Linked DNA regions of Oreochromis niloticus. The protein of the gene in region 1 purifies or fractionates together with the protein of each later gene. This does not show direct contact. Links are inferred from orthologs where the notes say so. Each region holds a gene or a part of one and is shown in the gene's direction. Other genes may lie near its edges.

The links.
Region 2: the proteins of sf3b6 (region 1) and phf5a purify together in Homo sapiens (affinity purification with mass spectrometry; 4 studies listed by BioGRID and IntAct, with this or other methods). This does not show direct contact. The link is inferred for Oreochromis niloticus from reciprocal best matches to the Homo sapiens genes SF3B6 and PHF5A.
Region 3: the proteins of sf3b6 (region 1) and snrpb2 purify together in Homo sapiens (affinity purification with mass spectrometry; 4 studies listed by BioGRID and IntAct, with this or other methods). This does not show direct contact. The link is inferred for Oreochromis niloticus from reciprocal best matches to the Homo sapiens genes SF3B6 and SNRPB2.

Annotation. Positions count from the first base shown.
Region 1 is NC_031980.2:1,150,655-1,157,751, reverse strand, and holds the start of sf3b6 (splicing factor 3B subunit 6), read left to right. Parts: upstream 1-3,987; 5' UTR 3,988-4,106; coding exon 4,107-4,136; intron 4,137-4,657; coding exon 4,658-4,776; intron 4,777-6,321; coding exon 6,322-6,460; intron 6,461-7,093; coding exon 7,094-7,097.
Region 2 is NC_031973.2:22,533,113-22,539,397, reverse strand, and holds phf5a (PHD finger-like domain-containing protein 5A), read left to right. Parts: upstream 1-4,333; 5' UTR 4,334-4,438; coding exon 4,439-4,490; intron 4,491-4,757; coding exon 4,758-4,781; intron 4,782-5,262; coding exon 5,263-5,429; intron 5,430-5,533; coding exon 5,534-5,623; 3' UTR 5,624-5,729; downstream 5,730-6,285.
Region 3 is NC_031971.2:41,376,884-41,384,308, reverse strand, and holds the start of snrpb2 (U2 small nuclear ribonucleoprotein B''), read left to right. Parts: upstream 1-4,369; 5' UTR 4,370-4,483; intron 4,484-4,485; exon of another isoform or gene 4,486-4,578; intron 4,579-4,675; exon of another isoform or gene 4,676-4,818; intron 4,819-4,907; 5' UTR 4,908-4,915; coding exon 4,916-4,979; intron 4,980-7,425. Other genes in the region: kif16ba (kinesin-like protein KIF16B), read right to left, coding at 855-901. UniProt on the Homo sapiens protein: Involved in pre-mRNA splicing as component of the spliceosome. Associated with sn-RNP U2, where it contributes to the binding of stem loop IV of U2 snRNA.

The DNA of each region.
Region 1 (7,097 bases):
CTGCAGGTTTCCCCAACCTTATAAACAGTACATTTGCATAATGACTGAAACCAGCCCACTGAAGGAACAATGGGCTGGGAGTGACGAAACGTTTCCCCCACAAAACGCTATGTCCAGATGAACAGAATCAACTTTTGGAGATTTACTTTCCTGGATGATTGAGAATGCATCAAGAAGCCAAAGTATTTGTTTTGTTAGTGCGGTATTCAAACGGTACATTTCCTTGTGATTTGAGTAGTCATCCTGCAAGGGGCAGAATATTTAAATAAGTCACACAAATGTGACCAACAAAGTCTGTTGCACGAAATCTAATACCTAAAAAAATCATATCTTGCGCCTGTTGTGGCTGTGATAGCTGCTAGAAGAAGTGTTGTTTTTAGAAGAGCGAGGTATCATCAGAACCAGTGTGTAATGGCCACATGGATGCATGGATGCTCAAAGCTGTGAGCACAGTGTCAAAACTCTGGCTTTGTCCGAAAGCTCTTCTTCTTCTTTTTTTTTCTTTTTTTTTAGCAAACATTAAAGTAATTTTCATTTGAACATTTAATCCAACAACCAAATAAGTGTGTGCAGCTGTGCTCATGCATGAATGAGTTAGTCTGTGAGCACAGTTATAGGCCCATGTGGTTCTATCTGTTGACTATTCTTGACTTCACTATTGGTGTAGAACCTAACGAAACGGAGACATCTCCCTTTGCAGCATTTTCTACAAGTTCCTGACACACACACACACACACACACACACACACACACACACACACGTACATATATCATTTGCAAACCCACTATTACTTACCCTTTATGTATGGCTCTTAACTGATAACCATGACCTCGTAGCTGTTTCTCACATCAATTTCTGGGGTCCACTCTCTTACTGTCAGTCAAGTTCATCATCCTTCCTGAGGGAATGAGCTGAACTGTTCAATCACAATCTTTCCCTCTATGAAACATTATTGTTCCCATTACCTGCAAGTTAGTACAACTTTGTGTTCCAATGGTCAGCTTGGTATTAAATGCAACAACTGCCTGGTAACAAGATAGTGATTTGAATGCAGTGTTGTGGAGCAGGGAAGCACCTAAAAACCTAAAACAAGAAGTCCCAATGACTATACTAAAAATCAGTAATTTTTAGTATATAAATCTCAAAAATCAGTAGACAGATTGGGGGAGCGTGACAGAGAAAGTGGTTATCCTAACAACATAATTCAATGTAGGTTAAAAAGCTTAAAGAATACTTTATGTCCTGTAGATTCTTCATAAATCTGACCCTAAATGTCCCTTTTCTTTACAATTCCAACCTTATTTTTACATGCTGTTCTCTTTTAAATTAAATGAATAAAACATCAGGATTAAAACGCCTTGTGGAGAATATAGATGCGAATTTTGTAGTCCATCTTCTGCATGTCGTAGTTTCAACACAGCGAATGTCCAGCGTGACTCAGAACATAAGATCGTTCCAATTCTCTTTTTTCTTCTAGCACCTATCCAGTGATCCTGAACACCGTTACAGGTTAGGAAAATGAGGGCTTTGGAGCGTGCTGTCACGGGGGTGGGCGTGGAAAGGATTTTGGCCTGATCCGCCATTTTCTGGGTCAAAACAAAGCGCAAGCGAAAAAAAGGAGCGAAGGCACACACAACAGCCATGGTTCGTACTTGCTGTGTGGTCGGCTGCAATCTTCGATCGCACGACCGGCAAGAGAATAAGGTTGAAAATGGTTTATCTTTTCATTCTTTCCCAACCTGGAAGCAACATGAGGCAGCTCGTGTATCGATGTTACCAAACGAAGACGTCTAGCCTGGATAGCAGCTGTGAGAGGAGCTGATATCCAGCTCTCTTCCATCTCCAAATATCTGTTGGTGCTCCACACATTTTCATTCCAGTAAGTTCTAAATATGTTCATATCACTCTTTATAGCCTATTAGTTTTATTTTCGATGAGCTCTGAGGTCATAGCAAATTAGAACAAACATCCTACTGAGTGATTTTGCAGAACTGTCTTCTATTTATAGAGTTTCTAATTATTTGGCATTATTACAGCAAACCAGCCTATGAAATGGATGAAACACATCGTGACTGGGTTCCAGCGCTACATAAGGGACCTGCTTCAAACACACCACCAATCAGATTACTTCTTCCATGTGAGGCTGAAGAGGTGACCCTTCAGGATAAGATGGTGAAGGTTTGCTGCGTTTGGTGAACAGTGTGGTAGTAAAACCAGGGAAAAATGAAACTTGCTCCTGTTAAATATTCTTAAGTCTTGTGCTGTATAAATAGGGGTAATTTTTCAGAAGATACAGTAAATTAAGTAGTGGGTGATATCATGTAAACACTGTCATGATTTTGTGTAAACATTTTGTCATTTATAAACTATAAATGTCATGGATTCTACATTGTAACTGATGTGATGTTCTACAAAATGGTTTTAATTAAAAAAAATTAAAAAAAGAGGCAAAAATTAGTTTGTTTCTTTATTCAACTTTTGAACAGTGGTACTCAGTCAGTACATATTCAGTAAATGCAAATTATTTACATGGCAGTGCACTACAGGCATAAATCTAGACCCCTAAATAAAACATTATGTGTCATTCCCACGACCCACAGCTTTACTGTGTTCCAGCAAAGTATCCAATAGCAGTGACAACTCCTCCACAGTAGCAGGTGGGATTTTTCTTTTTTGAGGACGGCTCCTTTTACCTTTCACTACAGATGGTCTGTTTATGTTTTGATCAAGAGCCTTTTTTTGGGCAGCTGAAGAGGAGAAGTCTATCTTATGGCCAACCTCTGGCTGTATCTTGGTCATATTACCAGGCAAAACCCAGTATGCAGGTTCATCTGTAACAGTCCTTGTGCCACAGATCCGCACTGTTGCTTCTACATTAAACAGAAGAGCAGTGACATGGGTGCAGGTCTCCGCAACTCCGGCCATACAGGTGCAGTGGGCGGCTTCAACCTTCCCTGTGATGCTCACAGTGACCCATGGCTGCAATGCTGGTTCATTCAGTCTCTGAGAGTGCAGCACCTGAAACACACACAAAGTTCATTTAAAGACAAGAACTATGAGCCAAGGCCGACACAAATGTGTTTTATTTACTTTATCATAAATGTAACAAAGTGTTTAGAAAGTTAGCACATACATGTAATTTTTCATTTTTTTTATGCATCCATCTATAAAACGCTGCATTTTATATTCTAAATCTGCCTGTTCTCTGTCAGAAACCTGCCTGCAGAAAATGAACCTAAAGGATGTAATGCAAGGATGTCATCACTTTAGAGATGGAGAAAGCATAAAGTGACAATTATGAATCACTTAATATGATAAGGAGATTCTGCAGGTCATTAATCAATGTATAAAACTAAAGATGTATTTTTAGTGACACAGGATACAAATATGGAAGCAAGATGTATAATTAGAATTATTTATAACAAATATGAATAAATTCTTGCAATTTCTTTAACCATAAAGAATAACTAAATCCTTCAGGACAACGTCACATCAATGCACTGAACTCACTGTATTATCCCTCTAACAGCCTCCACATGTTCTCACTGTAATTTCCCCTCATGAATGAATTTATGCTGCACTAATCTGAATGTTCGGAGGGAAATCAAACGCATTTCACTCGCAGTACTCGAGCAGACTTACCTTTGTTTGAATGACGACTTGTACGCGCTGACTCCACAGACAAGGTATGAAAATATGTCAGGCTACGTCAATAGCGGTTGGTCTTCAGGGTTTCTACTCCACGGCCGTATTTCATACGGGTCCACATTTCCAGTGCACGCGATTTCTGCAGGTACCGTCGCTTCGCCTCTGGACGCAATCGGTCTCCATACAGTCCATTCTCTTTTGAGCTGTTTTTAAGCATTTTTCTTGTCGTCGTCGTTCCAACACAGTGTGTTTGTTTGGATTCGTAGACCCGAAAATGGCGCCGCGCTCCCACGATGCATTGCGGCGTGACGTCAACTCCAAAGCTTGCGTTCAATCGGAAATCGGAAGTACGTCACCAATCAGCTTCCGTTGCCATTTTGACGAGAAGAGCCGAGAGCCTGGTGGGACTGCGTGTTTATCGTTCGTAGGTTTAATTTGAACAAAACAACCCGTCACAATGGCTATGCAAGCAGCAAAACGCGCTAATGTAAGTGTGAAAAAGTGGGACTGTGAATTTTGGGATAAATAGAGCTTCAAAAACATTAGCTCAGTTAGCTTCAAAGCTATCCTTAGCGTGTGTTAGCGTACGGTTAGCCGCTTAGCACGTTAGCAAAATGAAAACAACAACACTGTATAGTAACTTTTCTTGTTGGTGCTTTTTATGATGTCGCTCTTTAGCACACAGTTAAAGTCATCTTCTGTCTGAGATGATTGATGCTGTTCGGGCTGTGGTCGTTGGTTTAAATATCTGAGTTATATATGTAAGGGCAGCAGGGGGTTGACGGGGCCGGTGGGTAAAATAAAATAGGAAGCCATGAAGTTTGTCTGAAAATAAAACAGTTTACCACTGATTTAACCTAACTCCGACAAAGTTTGAGTTAAATGTCTACAAGCTACGTTTCCTCAGTAGCTTTGTGTTGAATACTCTTTGAATGCTCGTCGCTAGTTGTAACCTCAACAGTGTTTATTTACCCGAACTGTTTTATTGTTTTTTGTTTTGTGCTGTAGATCCGATTACCTCCTGAGGTGAACAGAATCCTGTATGTCCGGAATCTTCCTTATAAGATCACAGCAGAGGAAATGTATGATATCTTTGGGAAATATGGACCAATACGACAAATCAGAACGTAAGTGTTTCACTGTAGATTTTCAGAAATAGCAGTTGAAGTGCATGAAGAAGTGTGTGTGTGTGTGTGTTTGTTTGTGTGTGTGTGTGTGTGTGTGTGTGAGAGAGAGAGAGAGTGATGCTTTAAAAAAGTCATATTTTGGAGTTGGACTCCACGTTTATCTGTCTTTGTCTATTTTTGATCAATATCTATAAATGTTATTCAAGTCTCTCTATTATTTAAAGTGGACATAAAAACACTACATGTTCCTGCTACTTTAGTATACATTAGCTAACTAGTCACAGAACTGATAACGCCGTAAAAAACAAGTACATTAGTGTGTTCACAGTGAGAATAGACGGACCAAAACCCAAAAAAATAGCAGCCTCAGAGGAAGAGGTGCCATATTTTTTGAAACCCTAATTCCTTCTTTTGCTGTAAAAATGCTTTTTATAAATTAAATGGGGGTTTTATAATTCATTCGTAAAGAAATTACGCTATTTTGCAAAACAAATTGTCCTTCCTCATCTAATAGTTTTGTATTATGGAACACATTATTTGTTCAAAGTCTTATCTAAATTTGAATTTGATGGTAATTTTATTGAGTTAGAGCACTGACCGCAAAAAACCGCAACCTATGACCACCACGACTGAATTTCTGAAGCCTTTCCTCTAAACAGGTCCAGCAGACAGGGTTGCCCCTGTCTGCTGGACTCTTGTATTAGCCTGGAGCTTCTAGCTAAACTTTTTTTTAATATCTCCAGTTAAGATCTTTTCTTAAAGCCATTTGGTTAAAAACTGCTCCATGAAGGAAACTCTCCTTTCCTCCCTTTATCCCCAATCGGGATAAAGGGGGGAAATATTTAGCAAATGTAGCACGCTTTCTTAAAGTTGTGTTTTCAGCATGCAGGCAGTGGGCAAATTTAAGCGAATGTCCCTGGATCTGATGACAGTTCATTCCAGTAAAACCCCCACAACAAGTCAAAAACAGTATAAATCCAAAGATAGTCTGACCATAACCTCAAACAAGTAAATAACGGCTAAAATCACAGTGTTTTTTAAATTCAGTCAGCCTAAGGTTAGTGACGATGAGGTTGCTAAAAGTTCCACTGCTGATGAGAAGAAAGATGGTCCTGACCAGAGCTCTGACTCTGCCAGGGTTCTTCAAGAACATAAAACCCAACCAACCTGTGTGCACACTGTTATTTGCTTTTATGCAGACCTGTCCATGTGATTGTTCAGTGCAATGGCACCAGCTGCACATGCACGGCCCCAGAACTATAAGGTTACTATACTGGCATGTCCCAAAGGTTGTATAATCCCTGTCTTGCAGCGAGAGAGCTCCTGGATGTCCTGGCCAGTAAAGTAATAATTAAAAAAAAAAGTCCACTTTATTCAGCTCAGAGGAGTTATAACACTTAATAAACAAACCACCCTGTTGTCATGTGTATCCAATAATAACACAGAAAATAAGAGAGTGCTAAGAAAACAGGAAAATGCCCCACTGTTACTCACCATCAGGTGTAGGTCTTGTAATGATTTCCTGTGTCTGATGTTTTTTCATAGAGGGAACACGCCTGAAACAAGAGGAACAGCTTATGTCGTATATGAAGACATCTTTGATGCCAAGAACGCCTGTGACCACCTGTCAGGCTTCAATGTCTGCAATCGTTACCTCGTGGTCCTCTACTACAACGCAAACAGAGTACGTATGAGCATTACATCACTGCAGGCACAAAGGTCTTCCGGACCAAATGGTTCTTGGAGGTCCCTGAAAGTAACTCTGTTCCCTCAAGCTACATAGATAGCTTCAAGGCTTCTTAATCTTGCATTTGAGCCGACAGTATGACTGCTGACATGAACTAACAGCCAGCTGGTGATTGACACAGCAAAACATCCAATATGATGGTGATGAGAGCTGTGTCATTGCTTTCCTGATGATAGCAGAGCTAGAGTGAGAGGAACAGGGTAGCTGTAGCACTACCCCCCTCATTCACTTAAATGCATTTATGCTACATTGAGATGAAGCAGACGTGTTGTTGAGGCTGTAAATACAGCGGGTGAGGCTTTTTTTAACTTTGTTGTAATCCTTTGTTTTCAGTCTTCACTTTTTCAGTGTTTAGATGCCAAAGGCAGAAAATCAAGTGTAATTGTGCTTTAATGAGTCAGTATTTTGTTGTATTTCCTCAGTTACTGATAAACATGTATAAGGTCTTAAAGTTCCCCAAACTATCCCTGCAGAGCAGACACACAAATGAGAACAAAGTGCGCTCACATTTTTATAAAATATGAACAGAATATTCATGTACTTTTTTTTTTTAATCAACTCTTTTCACAGGCTT
Region 2 (6,285 bases), on another chromosome or scaffold:
CATTTGTTAGTCAAATTAAAAATGAATTAAATTATCGCAGCTTGCCTGATGAGGTTTTGATGGACATGTTTATTTGGGACTTTGAATGTGTACATGAGTACGCTGGAAGCTCTAGTGAGCTCATTCGGCCAGCTAAGGACCGCTGACGGCTCTGAATCCTATCTGCCACCTCCTGCATTGCCTGCAGTGCCTTCGTCAGGGGCTTCCACTCCATCACCTGCAGCGCCACCACCCGCAGCTGCCACGCTGCCGCCTGGTTCCGCAGCTGCCACGCTGCCGCCTGGTTCCGCAGCTGCCACGCCTGGTTCCGCAGCTGCCACGCTGCCGCCTGGTTCCGCAGCTGCCACGCCTGGTTCCGCAGCTGCCACGCTGCCGCCTGGTTCCGCAGCTGCCACGCTGCCACCTGGTTACGCAGCTGCCACGCTGCCGCGCCTGGTTCCGCAGCTGCCATGCTGCCGCACCTGGTCCTGCCTCTGCCGTGCCTGGTCCGACCTTGCCTGGTCCTGCGGATGCTACACCACCGTCTGATCCAGCTCTCCCTGGATCACCTCACCTCTGCCAGCCACTTTCCAGGCCTCTAGCTGGACGTCATCACCGTCAAGGGCGGCCCCTGAACGAGGTCGCCGCCGCCGCCACTGTCTCCCGCGCGGTCGGCCTCCGGACCTGCTCTGTCGCCACCGCCACTGCGTCCTGCGCGGTCAGCCTCTGGACCTGCTCTGTCGCCGCCGCCACTGCCTCCTGCTCTGTCGCCGCCGCCGCCACTGCCTCCCGCGCGGTCGGCCTCCGGACCTGCTCTGTCGCCGCCGCCGCCACTGCCTCCCGCGCGGTCGGCCTCCAGACCTGCTCTGTCGCCGCCGCCGCCACTGCCTCCCGCGCAGTCGGCCTCCGGACCTGCTCTGTCGCTACCGCCACTGCGTCCCGCGCGGTCAGCCTCTGGACCTGCTCTGTCGCCGCTGCCACTGCCTCCTGCTCTGTCGCTGCCGCCATTGCCTCCCGCGCGGTTGGCCTCCAGACCTGCTCTGTCGCCGCCGCCACTGCCTCCCGCGCGGTCGGCCTCTGGACCTGCCTCGTCGCCGCCGCAGCCTTCCCCGCGGTTGGCCTCCGGACCTGCTCTGTCGCCGCCGCCACTGCCTCCCGCGCGGTCGGCCTCCGGACCTGCTCTGTCGCCGCCGCCGCCACTGCCTCCCGCGTAGTCGGCCTCCGGACCTGCTCTGTCGCTGCCGCCACTGCCTCCCGCGCGGTCGGCCTCCGGACCTGCTCTTTGGCTCATGCTCCTGTTTAGAATTCCTCTTCCAGTGTTTCAGTCCTTAGTTCATCTGTCCAAAGTTTTGTTTTGTTTTTCCCAGCAATAAAGCTGCGCTTTGAGTTTAAAGTTCCGTCTCCAAGAGTCCTGCATTTTGGGTCCTTTTTCCTGCCTGCCTGCCTGCCACACAGCCAACCATGACACTAATTGTACTGTCATAAACTTTAACATGCTAGCTGAAGCCCGTATAGTCTGAGTGTCAAAATTCGTCTGTGTGCCAGGCAGGATGTGGACACAAACGCACAACTTGAGACAGAACATCAGCTCAAAGGACAGCTTTAATGCTCAACTTTCAGAAAGACAAAAAACAAGGAGTTCATCAGGAGCAAACAATAACAAAAACTAGAAATCTCAGGGAAACGTGAAATAAGGAAAAACACAACCATCCAGGGAGGGCATGACAAAGGGGAGACTGACACAATATAAACACATCAGGTAACAGGAAACACAACTGCATCTAATGAGGAAAAGAAGACAGGGAAGGTAAAACGAAATACCAAACGCACAAGACAAAGGTTGCCAAAATGAAACAGGAAATAACTAAAATCGGGTAACATCACAGGCAGAGGCTTGACAACACACAGGGAACAGCGGGGCCCGTGGTAAACTGAAGTAACAGTAACTGAAACAAAAGCACAAAGCAGGAAAAACAACGACTGAGAAACAACCTGACGATGACGAAACAGAGAACATCCTTCTGAATTCACATGACTGCTTCAGTAAGGGTGAACTTTCTTTTTCCCCTGACTGCATATTAGATCATGGACTCATACCTATTGATTCATTCACATGTAAACCACTTTACTGTTGCAGCTAGCGATTATTTGAATAACTGAATTGAACTGGTCAAATTGCCCCCAATTTTCTATGTTATGATCCGGAGCAAGGACTCGGGTGGTGCTGCCGAGCTCAGCAGCTGGGCAAGAAGGTGGACAGCGGATGGCATAAGCTGGCTTGTGACAGGACTGAAATGTCAACTCAGGTAGAGGATGAGGATGATAAGGTAGGTAGGAAAGGACGAGGACGAGGTAGTAAGTGGGGAGAGGATGAAAATTTGGTTGGAATGCCAAATTAGAAACGGGCGATAGCAGAAGTTCAGATGAAGGGAGTGCTGTAGTTCGGAAGACGATAGTAAGAGAGGAATTCAAAATAATACTGAAGTTTAGGAAGGAGGATGAGAACATGCAGTTAAGTCCAAGTGCAGTATCGAGGGAACTGAAAAAGAAGATAGGGGATGTCCAACAAGCAAGAATCCTAAGAGACAGGAACTTGTTGATAGCACGTAAGAGGGAGGAGGAAAAAAATAATAATGCGTATTGAGAACATATGTATAAAGATGTAGTAGAAAGGATGCCTGAAGGAGAGAATAAAACAACAAGAGGGTCATAACAGGGATTCCGGTGGATGAGAATCCTGAAAAACTAAAACGGAGCATTCAAGGTCTGGAAGTGAGTCGAGTTAAAAGACTATTAAGAACAGTCAATGGGGAAAGAGTTGATAGCTTGTCAGTGATGTTTAAGTTTCAAGGTCCTACCCTTCCAGAAAAAGTCAAAATAGGATGCATGTGTTTTACAGATAGGCCATATATCCCTCCCTCTCTAGATGCTACAAAGGTCAGAGATATGGGCATATAGCAGCAGTATGCAGAGGACAGCAAGGTGTCCCTAGGTGTGGGGACAACCATAGGTATGACATAGTTGGTCAGTAGCCAATGGTCTGCTATTAATCACTGCCATGACTTCATACAGGAATGTCCTTAGAGAGGAGCTGTCAAGTTGTTTGGCTCATTGTTCAAGAACTGATGTGAGTACACTTTGCGAATGCGAATTTGTCTTTCCCAGACACCACTCATATGACTACGTGCTGGGGTGTTGATGAGAAACTCGCGGTCCAGTTTTCAAAGTTTTGCTTGATGTATTTCTTTAAATTCTTCAGTAAATCATTGCTTGTGCCGACATAGTTTGTGCCTTGATTGCATCTTATCCGGAGAACTGTACCTCTGATGGCTATGAATGCACGTAAGGAGTTGATGAAGGAATCTGGAGAGAAATCGTCAAGCATCTCGAGATGCACTGCTCTGGAGCACATGCAGGTGATTAGCAAGCCATAACGCTTTAAGGCAGTGTTGGAAAATAATGGTTGCCACACAAAATATTGATATTTTGGGGACAGTTTGGACATTTTCACCTAGGTGTGTACTCACTTTTGTTGCCAGCAGTTCAGATGTTAATGGCTGTATGTTGAGTTATTTTGAGGTGACAGCAAATTTACACTGTTATACAAGCTGTACACTGACTACTTCACATTGCATCAGTGTGTCATATCTTCAATTTTTTCCCATGAAAAGATCACCCCACAATGGAAACAATTAAACCTTGTTGGCAGAAGGAGGTAAAGGAGTCAAAGAGCTTTGGATGGACAGCAACCTGGAAAACAATAGAAATCCAAATAGATCAAATTAATATTAGGCTGCTAAAGGAGATCAAGTTTAAATATCAGTATTAGCAACGCTGAAATGAAGAGCACAATAAAACAGATAATGTGGGAAATAGGGCAAAAAGCTGTGGGAGGAGGAGAGGACAGGGAGATGGTTTTATTCTATTCAAAGGAAAACAAGAAACATGAGAAGCACAGGGAGGACCAGGAGAGAGGAGACAATAATATCTTGATTCAGATCTGGCCACACTGGATTAAACAGTACGCTATTCATTATAGGGCAACATCAAACAGGGAAATGTAATCGCCGTGGAATAAATTAAACCAAAATCAAAATTACAGGAAGAAAGAACACAACTGATTCAAAATCTGGGGGGATTAAGCTAGATATAAAGGATTTATTGCAAAGGAATTCTAGATGTGAAAGTTTTATGGCTTTATTTCAGTTTCTAAAACAAACTCATTTGTGTGAAAGGATATGAGGACATATATATATCCTGTAGTATTTATTTATTGTATTTATTTTCCGATTATTTGATATGAGCGAATTCCGGTCCACACTTGTGGACAGTTGGTGGCGGTAATGTACCACATCGTTGTTTGCCAACCGCCAAAAACGACAAAGAAGAAGAAAAACCAGCTGCAGCAGCAGAAGAAGAAGAAAAAGAAAGAGAAGCGCTTTACTTACGTAAACCTAAGATGGCTAAACATCATCCAGATTTGATCTTCTGTCGAAAACAAGCTGGTGTTGGTAAGTTTGGACTCATTTTACGTTTCAGTATTCGGCACAGTGGATTTTGCTGCAGCCGGAAGTCCCTTGTTGTTGTTTCGTAGGTCATAGCGTTAGCATCCATGCTAACATGGCGTGGATTTCATTGAAAATGTGTTAGCCTGGAAGTGTTTGCAGGTCTGTGGGCTCTGGTGGCTAGAAGGGTATCGTAACTAGAAGAAAGTGGGGTTTGTTTTTTGTGTGAATTCCTGTCACATTGACTCACTTTGTTTTGTTTCTATCCCGCAGCTATCGGGAGACTCTGTGAGAAATGTAAGTGTTTTTATCTGTGAGTAATATCTGGAACAACAAGCGGCATGTGTTTTAAACTAGTGTTAAGGTCTGTTTATGTCATATTTTTGTTTCATTTATTTAACTACAAGTTTAATCAGCTAATTTTATTTTTATAACCACGTTCATAACAATCAGGATTTAATCTGTGTGTGTTTTTAATTTATTACACCAGTAATATTTACTTACCCTGTGTTTCTTTCAAATCTCTAAAACTACAGACTTTTAAATCCCTGCTTTTGAAAATAAGCCAGAGTATAGATGTTAATCTCTAGTTTTAATCATTAATTTTATTGCTGTTGTTTTATTTGTACACTCTACAGTCAACATAGTCACTATATCTGTAAATTGTTATTGTTATTGTCTATTTAGTCCAAAAGAAAACAAAATACACAAACAACTCTAAACTCAAATTCCTCCAGTATAAGTTTAAACCTTTCTTCTTCCTCTCTTCTCTGTCCAGGTGATGGAAAGTGTGTCATCTGTGATTCCTACGTGAGACCGTGCACACTGGTGCGTATTTGCGATGAGTGTAACTACGGCTCCTATCAGGGGCGCTGCGTCATATGTGGAGGGCCTGGTGTGTCTGACGCCTACTACTGCAAAGAATGCACCATCCAGGAGAAAGATGTGAGTTTCCCGCTCCTCTCTTCACTTTGACACTGGATACTGAAGCAGCAAAATATCCAAGAGACTTGTTCTTTAAGATAAAAAATTTCTTTCTCTCTCTCCAGCGAGATGGATGTCCTAAGATTGTAAACCTGGGCAGCTCCAAAACAGATCTGTTCTATGAACGAAAGAAGTACGGCTTCAAGAAGAGGTGAACACGACCACGACGACCCAGTGCAACGTTTAGTCTTTCAGATTTTCTTTAAAACTCACAAAAAAACCTTTGTTTGATTTGTCAATAAAACTCAATTTTATACTTTTTTTCTATGACTGCTTTGTTGGTGTTCAAGATTTTTAAATAATCAGTGAACACGTCATAAAAATGGGGAAATGAAGAGGTGTCACTGGAAAGGATTTTTTTTAAATTAAAGCTCACTAAACAACTCTGAGCTTTTGATTCCATTTTGATGTGAAGTCTGTCTTGTTACTTGTTGAGGTTTTTCCTCTTAACAAAATCTGCTCAGGACGTTTTCCCTCTTAACATCAGCAGTGAGTCAGTGGCAGTGTTTGCTAAATCTCAGTGTCTTCGTTCTCTTCTCTTCTCTTAGCTTCTTCTTCCAGCTGGCAATGCATGATGCTTTTTATACACAAAGACCTGAGCTGTTACCATTAATGGTATAAATACTCCCACTTTCTGTGGACTGCTGAACACAGGGGCAAGAGCCAAAATGAAATAACATTTTCAGTGTAAAAAATGTCAGGATCTGTTTTTAGTAATGATTTAAAAAGGTACAGATGGGTGGCGAGTAAAAGAAACCCCCTTTAACCCTTGACCTCTTTCAGTGAGGGGCTTCAGTCTCTCTCTTATATTGTGGTT
Region 3 (7,425 bases), on another chromosome or scaffold:
TTTGTAATCTTTCAATGAGGAATCTGACAGGTGTGGATTTTTCTCACCCCACCCTGCTGCACCGCCCTTCAGCCCCACACAAAAATCATGCAAAGCTGCAGACTTAAAATATGAAGCTGGAACAATGACGGCCTGGCAGAGAGTCGATATCCGGGTTATTAAATCTGACTGAGGCAAAAATAAAATGTCAGCAGGCGGGCTGAGTCCTCACGGTCACAGCTACGACTAAAAACAGCCACCTGACATGAACCAAGCTGCTGTGGGAACTAAATAAAAATGATATCTATACTTTAGGAAAGAAGTAAAGCAACGCTGACCTAAAATATAAAAACATAGAGGAAACCTCTGTTTGGCCTCCAGTTTGATCAAATCTGTCAGCACAAACCTGCAGAGGAGGGTCTGCTCGTAATCCCCATAATCAGAATAACTCTGACTCATAACACAAAGAGTCAGGATCTAGGTTATCGTGTCCACCAAAGACGAATAAAACCAGCTGGAACAACAAACAAAGACAACAATAATCAAAACTGCACTTTGCTGAGATCTGTCTGACGTCCTGAGGAGGCTTCAGTGATCATAATACACCAAACTGGGACTCAAACATCAAAAACCTCCTGATACTCAGACTGTCCCCGGAATAAAACACAATCAAATGAAACCAGACCACATTTTAACCCTGACTTCAGAGACGGGGACGGCTGTGCTGTAGGTAGGGTAAACCTGGGGCCCCTGAGGGCCTCCCCCCGATCCCTGCAGACTTCTCAAGGTGAGCCCGCGGAAGTTCTCAGGTACACACAGGTGAGGCGATGATGTCAGCCGTGAACATGAACCGTGGTAAACTTAAAGTCACTCACCGCCTGTTCATGGGCCGGACCCGCACAGCCACCCGGACCGACGCCATGGCTCATCCCGCTGCTGTCCGCCGCTCCGCGGAGAGGAGCCGCTTTACGACCGCTATCAGCTAACAGGCGAGCGGATACACGGGGCAAAAGTCGCACAGATAAAAGCGGAGTGCGGAGAATGGTTCAAAGCGCACAGATGGGGGCGGAGGGGGGTCTCGGGAGGAGGTGGATGCTATCAGGGTCCGCTGACACCGAGTCGCTGTCCCGCTGCCTCAGACCTGCGGTCGCTGCTAGCTGTTAGCCTGCTAGCCGGCATCAGGTGGTAAAAAACATCGGGATGTATGGAAGCCAGGAGGGGACACACCTCCGGACGGACGGGAAATGATCCAGCATCCAGCGAGAAGAAATACAGGACAAGAGAGACTTTAATGTACATCTTTTAATAACTGGGGTCATATGTATCTATCTATCTCAGATAGATAGATACATATATATATGTACTCATAAAAAACAGACATTTGAGGTTTTATATGAAACAATAAGTATACAGGAAGCAAAATCTGATTAATAATAATTTTAGAACTAGATTTAGATCCAAACAAAAAATATCTGACAATTTTTTTAATTGACTGAAATTGAAAATGCAAAATTAAGAAAACTTCAGATTTTTTTTGCATTGTTTTTTTATCTGACTGAAAATAAGTGCTGCCCTGGAAGATGGAATAGTTTGGCCTGTGCAGACACCTCTGAGGGCTGTTTTTTTTATTTCTAACAATTTATTTCAGTGAGCACTTGGATGTCTCAGCTTTTGCTTTTCCTGTTGCATGCTGGGGCAGCAGGTTGAGGGTCACTGATGCCAACAGATGCCAATAAACTGATCACAAGGCCAGTGATGTTGTGGGGATGGAGCTGGGCTCCCTTAGGGTGGTGTCTGAGAGCCAGATGTTGTCCAAGATAGGGACAATGTTGGATAATACCTCCCACCCACTCCATGACGTGCTGGCTAGTCACAGGAGCAAGTTCAGTGAGAGACTGAGATTACCAAAAAGCACCAGTGAACGACACAGGAAATCATTCCTGCCTGTGTACAACTTCCTGTACAACTCCTCCATCTAACACACTGTAAAACAGTAAAATAGAATAGATTAGATTAGATTACATAAAACTTTATTAATCCCTCGGGTGGGTTCCTCCGGGAAATTCGGTTTCCAATAGCACTGCACCGACAGAAGTTACAGAATGTGAGCAGAAATATACCATATATACACATATATAAATACAGAGAATACAAAAGGATAAATAGAATAAATAGGAATAAGAATACAAGGGAATTGCACATTTCAAGTATTATGAGTCTATTGCACCGTTGGATATTAACACTTCACTGTGCAATACTTTCGTATTGCACAGTGAAGTGAAGAGGCACTACAGCTTAGTTGTCCCCCCCTCCTTTGTCACCCTGTCTCCCCTCCAGAGAGGAGTTAAACAGTCTGATGGCGTGTGGGACAAAGGAGTTTTTAAGTCTGTTGGTTCTTATCTTTGGAAGAAGCAACCTGTCACTGAACAGACTCTTCTGGTTGTTTATGGCCGTGTGCAGAGGATGCCCAGCATTGTCCATAATGTCCAGCAGTTTTTTTAGTGTCCTTTTCTCTGCCACTGACACCAGAGTGTCCAGCTTCATGCCGACCACAGAGCCAGCCTTCCTGATCAGTTTTTCCAGCCTGGATGATCCTTCTTTGCTGTGCTGCTCCCCCAGCACACCACAGCATAGAAAAGTACTCCTGCAACCACTGACTGGTAAAACATCCTCAGGGGCTTCCTGCAGATGTTAAAAGACCTCAGCCTCCTGAGGAAGTACAGTCGGCTTTGGCCTTTTTTATACAGGTGCTCTGTGTTGCATGACCAGTCCAGTTTGTTGTCCACCCACAGCCCGAGGTACTTGAAATAGAAAATGTTCACAGGTTAGAGTCAAATGTCAACCATATATATTCCACCCCTCTAATATTCTCACCTCTGTAATATTCTTGATATCTAAATTGAGCTATTTGTATACATTAGTGCTATTTCTTATATAATGCAGTGAATATGGGGCTGCATTACATCCTGCAACACCTCGACCGCCCGGGAACTTATGCCAGGGTCCTGTTTGTGGACTTTAGTTCGGCTTTTAACACCATCGTGCCTGAACTTCTCTCTTCCAAACTCTCCCAGCTCAGCGTGTCACCAGCTACCTGTCAGTGGATCACCAGCTTCCTGACAGACAGAAAGCAACAAGTGAGGCTGGGGGAGATCACCTCTGAAACTCGGTCCCTCAGTATTGGTGCCCCTCAAGGATGTGTCCTCTCACCACTACTGTTCTCCCTCTACACTAATGCCTGCACCTCCAAGAACTCGGCTGTTAAACTCCTAAAGTTTGCAGATGACACCACCGTCATTGGCCTCATTCAGGATGGTGATGAGTCTGCATACCGACAGGAAGTTGAGCAGCTGGTACTCTGGTGCAGTCAGCACAATCTGGAGCTGAACACTCTTAAAACTGTAGAGATGACAGTGGACTTCAGGAGACATCCCTCAACTCTGCCCCCCCTCACCATATCAGTCAGCCCGGTGTCCACTGTGGAGATTTTCAAGTTCCTGGGTACCACCATCTCCCAGGACCTGAAGTGGGAGACCAACATCAACGCCATCCTCAGAAAGACCCAGCAGAGGATGTACTTCCTGAGACAACTGGGGAAGTACAGTCTTCCACAGGAGCTGCTGATCCAGTTCTACACTGCAGTCATTGAGTCTGTCCTGTGCTCCTCCATCACAGTCTGTTAAGGTGCAGCCACCAAACAGGACAGGAGCAGACTGCAGCGGACTGTACGGGCAGCAGAAAGGATCATCGGCGCCCCCCTGCCCTCCATCCAGGATCTGTACCTCTCAAGAACCAGGAAACGGGCAGGAATCATCACAGACCCCTCACACCCTGGACACAGACTCTTTGACCTGCTGCCCTCTGGCAGACGGTACAGAAGCCACAGGAACACTTTCTTTCCCCTCGCCATCTCCCTCCTAAACAGTTGACCTGTCACACTGCTCCCACTGCCAGACTGCACCTGCTCCTTATGTACATTCTGTAGTATTCATTCCACCTCATTTCATTTCTGTCATCCTGTATTCTATGTATATAAGTTTAGATTGTTTATTTATAGTTGGTTTATACAGCTTTGTGTATGTATATGTATGCATGTTTAATGTATATATAGACACGTGTGTGTGTGTGTGTGTGTGTGTGTGTGTTTTACATTGTTGTACTTGAGAGTCACCATCTACCGGAACCAAATTCCTTGTATGTGTCTGCGCATGGCCAATAAACACGATTCTGATTCTGATTCTGAGTTGTAAACTCTGTAACATGTATTATTTAAATAGTTTAGTCTGTTACTGCAACTGTGACCCACGTAATTTCCTTAGGGATTAATAAAGTATTCTGATTCTGATTTTAGTTTAGATTTAATGAATTGTAATAAGCTCACAGGTAGCTGCAGTTCTCCTCCTGGCCTCCTGGTGGCGGCGGAGGGCAGAGGTCGTTAAAGCTTCAGCCGGCGCCACAGCGGAGTGTTTCCGGAAACTTCATGAGCGGTGTGAGCCGAGAGGAGGTGAGTTCCATATTTATGTTAAAAACGTTTATCCGAGGCTCCTCTCACCGCGGTTTAACAAAGGAGCTGCGCGGGCGGAGGTTAAATCTGTAAAGGTGATTTTTGACGTTAAAGCGACGCCGGAAAAAAACATTTAGTTTAAAGGCTAGCTGGGCTAAGCTAACACATGCTAACATTAGCTGAGTGAGGGAGGTTTCTGGGAACCTTTGAATGAATTCAAGCTGAAGCTTTTGATTTAGCCAAAGCTCCTTAAACAGCGAGTTTTCAAGTGTAACTTAAACGATTTGTTTCTGCTCTGGTTGTGTGAGTTTACCGAGACATTAGCAGGAACGTGGGTAAGCTCGGGTGTTAAACGGGTAAACGAGGCTTAGAGGTGGAGTTGAACACTGAAGAAGCTGAAGCTGCTCTCCTGTTGTCTCCTCAGACTCCACCATGGACATCAGACCGAACCACACCATCTACATCAACAACATCAACGATAAAATCAAGAAGGAAGGTGGGTGCTGTTCCTCTGCATGGCTGACAGCAGCGAGTTTCTTCGGCATTAGAGACTGCTGTGCTGACGATCACAACGCTGACTTCACCTGAATAATCGAATTTTAACAATCAGTGGAAGTTGAAATGTGACTGAAATTAAAGTTGGATTAATTTTCTTTTTGTTTAACTGGGAAAAAGAGACACTTGAGATTTAAATAGCGTGTTTGAAGAGAATAGACGGGGCTCTAGAGTGCGACCAATTTGGTCGCAAATGCGTAAACACAGAGCGGACCGACGCATCAGAATCAGCTTTGTCTTTCTCGGCTTTCTTACCCCACGGCCCGAACACGGACACGCTGTCGGAGCTCAGCGATTCTGATGCGTCGGGTCTGCGCTGTGTTTCCGTCTTATTTGCGCTGATTCTGAGCTGCAGGTTTTGTCTCTCCAACCAAAATTCGCCGAGCCAGCAGCAAAAGAAGCAGCAAACTACGCTTCACATGTGATCAATGTCGTCATGAATTCCCTCTGACTTTTGCTGTTTTGCTTCCACCACGATAAAAATCACACTTCATGCACAGCTCCCTCTCTCTCTCTCTCTCTCTCTCTCTCTGTACATCAAGATCAGTTTCCCGTCTCAAATCTCTGTTTTCTGCATTATTCATTGGCTTATTACCCACCAGTCTACCGTTGTTTACAGCGCTGTCGGCCGCTGTCTTTTTCTTTTCTTTTTCTTTTTTCCACTTAAATGACCTCGGACAAGAAAGCCTAATTTCTGCTGTTCAATACTGAAGAAATTTAAACTTCTTAAAATTATGCAAAATTGCAGAATATTTTTAAGGTTATCTGCTATAAAACGCCAGACCAGGAAAATCTCCTTCATGTTTTTCTGTTTTATTCTCAGTTACTTTGACACAAAGGCATCTGCTGTGATGTTCACATCTCTGATGAAGTCTCATGTGTATCAGTGCTGATAAATGACCAGAATTATGATATTTCTGACTGTCTGAGGCTAAATTGAATCGAATCAGGACTTTGAGAACCGGAATCGAATGGATTATAGAAATCAGTGATGATACCCAGCCCTAGTGAGCAGCCTAGGCCTGACAGAAGTGGATGTAGCTGTGGGGAATAAGAAAAGATGAAAAGAACTATTGATAACTTTTGTGTTAAGTTAAGGACTGATCCGTCTGAAATTCATAGCCAGCTCTGACACGGTGCCATCAATCTTTGAATGCTGAAAAAGCAGCAGTGTATCCAGAAAACACATTATATGCTGCAATAAATGCACTGCCCAAGTGTCCCCTCTCCTCACTGCCTTTCAGCAGCAGGCAGCAGCAAACAGGTCGTCAGAGGAGCCGAGATGATGATTAAGTTTAACATTTTCTACAATATTGACAAAGCACTTTAAGCACAAGTTTGTTAGTTAATAATTTAGAAATGAATATTGTCTGTATGGACTTCCCCCCCAAAGAAAGTGCACATGTAAAACTGCGGTGTTAAGCGATGCGGTTGAAAAATTTGAGTGCGCCTAACTTTTTGGCACAAAGTTAGTCTAGAGCCCTGATAGAAGCAGTAGCTGAATAACAGCCCAACACACAATGGACACATTAAACACTGCAAAGGCTGGAAGAAAAAAAACTAAGCATTAAGTTAATGACGCACTCTGATTATAATCCATCAGACTGCTCCGTGTTTTAATGAGAGAGCTGTGGTATTGATTTAACCGTTAGCTCACACATTGGGCATTTTACCGGCTTTCTTTCCAACAGTTTCAGCAACAGTTGCCTCAAGATGCTTAGACAGGACAGAGTAGCTACGGCCCACTTTACCCTAACTTTGTAATTACATCTTTACAGCTTACCATGGATTCTTTAAGACTGCCTCAAATTCCTTCCTACTACTTACTAAACTTTAATGATATCGTCGCTCTTTTCTACTTTCAGTCTTTATTACGAGTAGTTTCACCTTTCATTGAATAGTCATCTTATCTGCTGCCAGTACACTTATCAGTAACTGTGATTGGTCAGATGCTGCTGGCACCGTCCTGTTCAGAGGAAATCTGGGACAATACCTTAGTAGTAGCGTTGTAGTGCCGGGGTCAGGATAAGTCATCGTCTCTGTGAAAACTTCAGTTCAGCAAACAGAAACCTGAGGAGCAAAGAGCCGAACCTCCCAGAACCCCTGATAGACGGAGGTCTGTAGTGTGTGTGTGTGTGCGTGTGTGTGTGTGTGCGCGCTGTTTGAGTGTAGAGAAATGGAACAAGCGCAGGAAAAACAAAAACAAACATTATGTATGTACTGCTGAGTTTATTGCAGGAGACGAGGAGCCTTTTTTCTGCAGGCTTCACTCTGATCTTTGTTTCAAAACATGTTTTAATCATTTTCCGTATAAAGCTTTTGACAAAAACTGTCAAATGAATTCCTCGTTTTTCAGTTTTCTTCTTATTTCTTTTTTATTTGGTTCA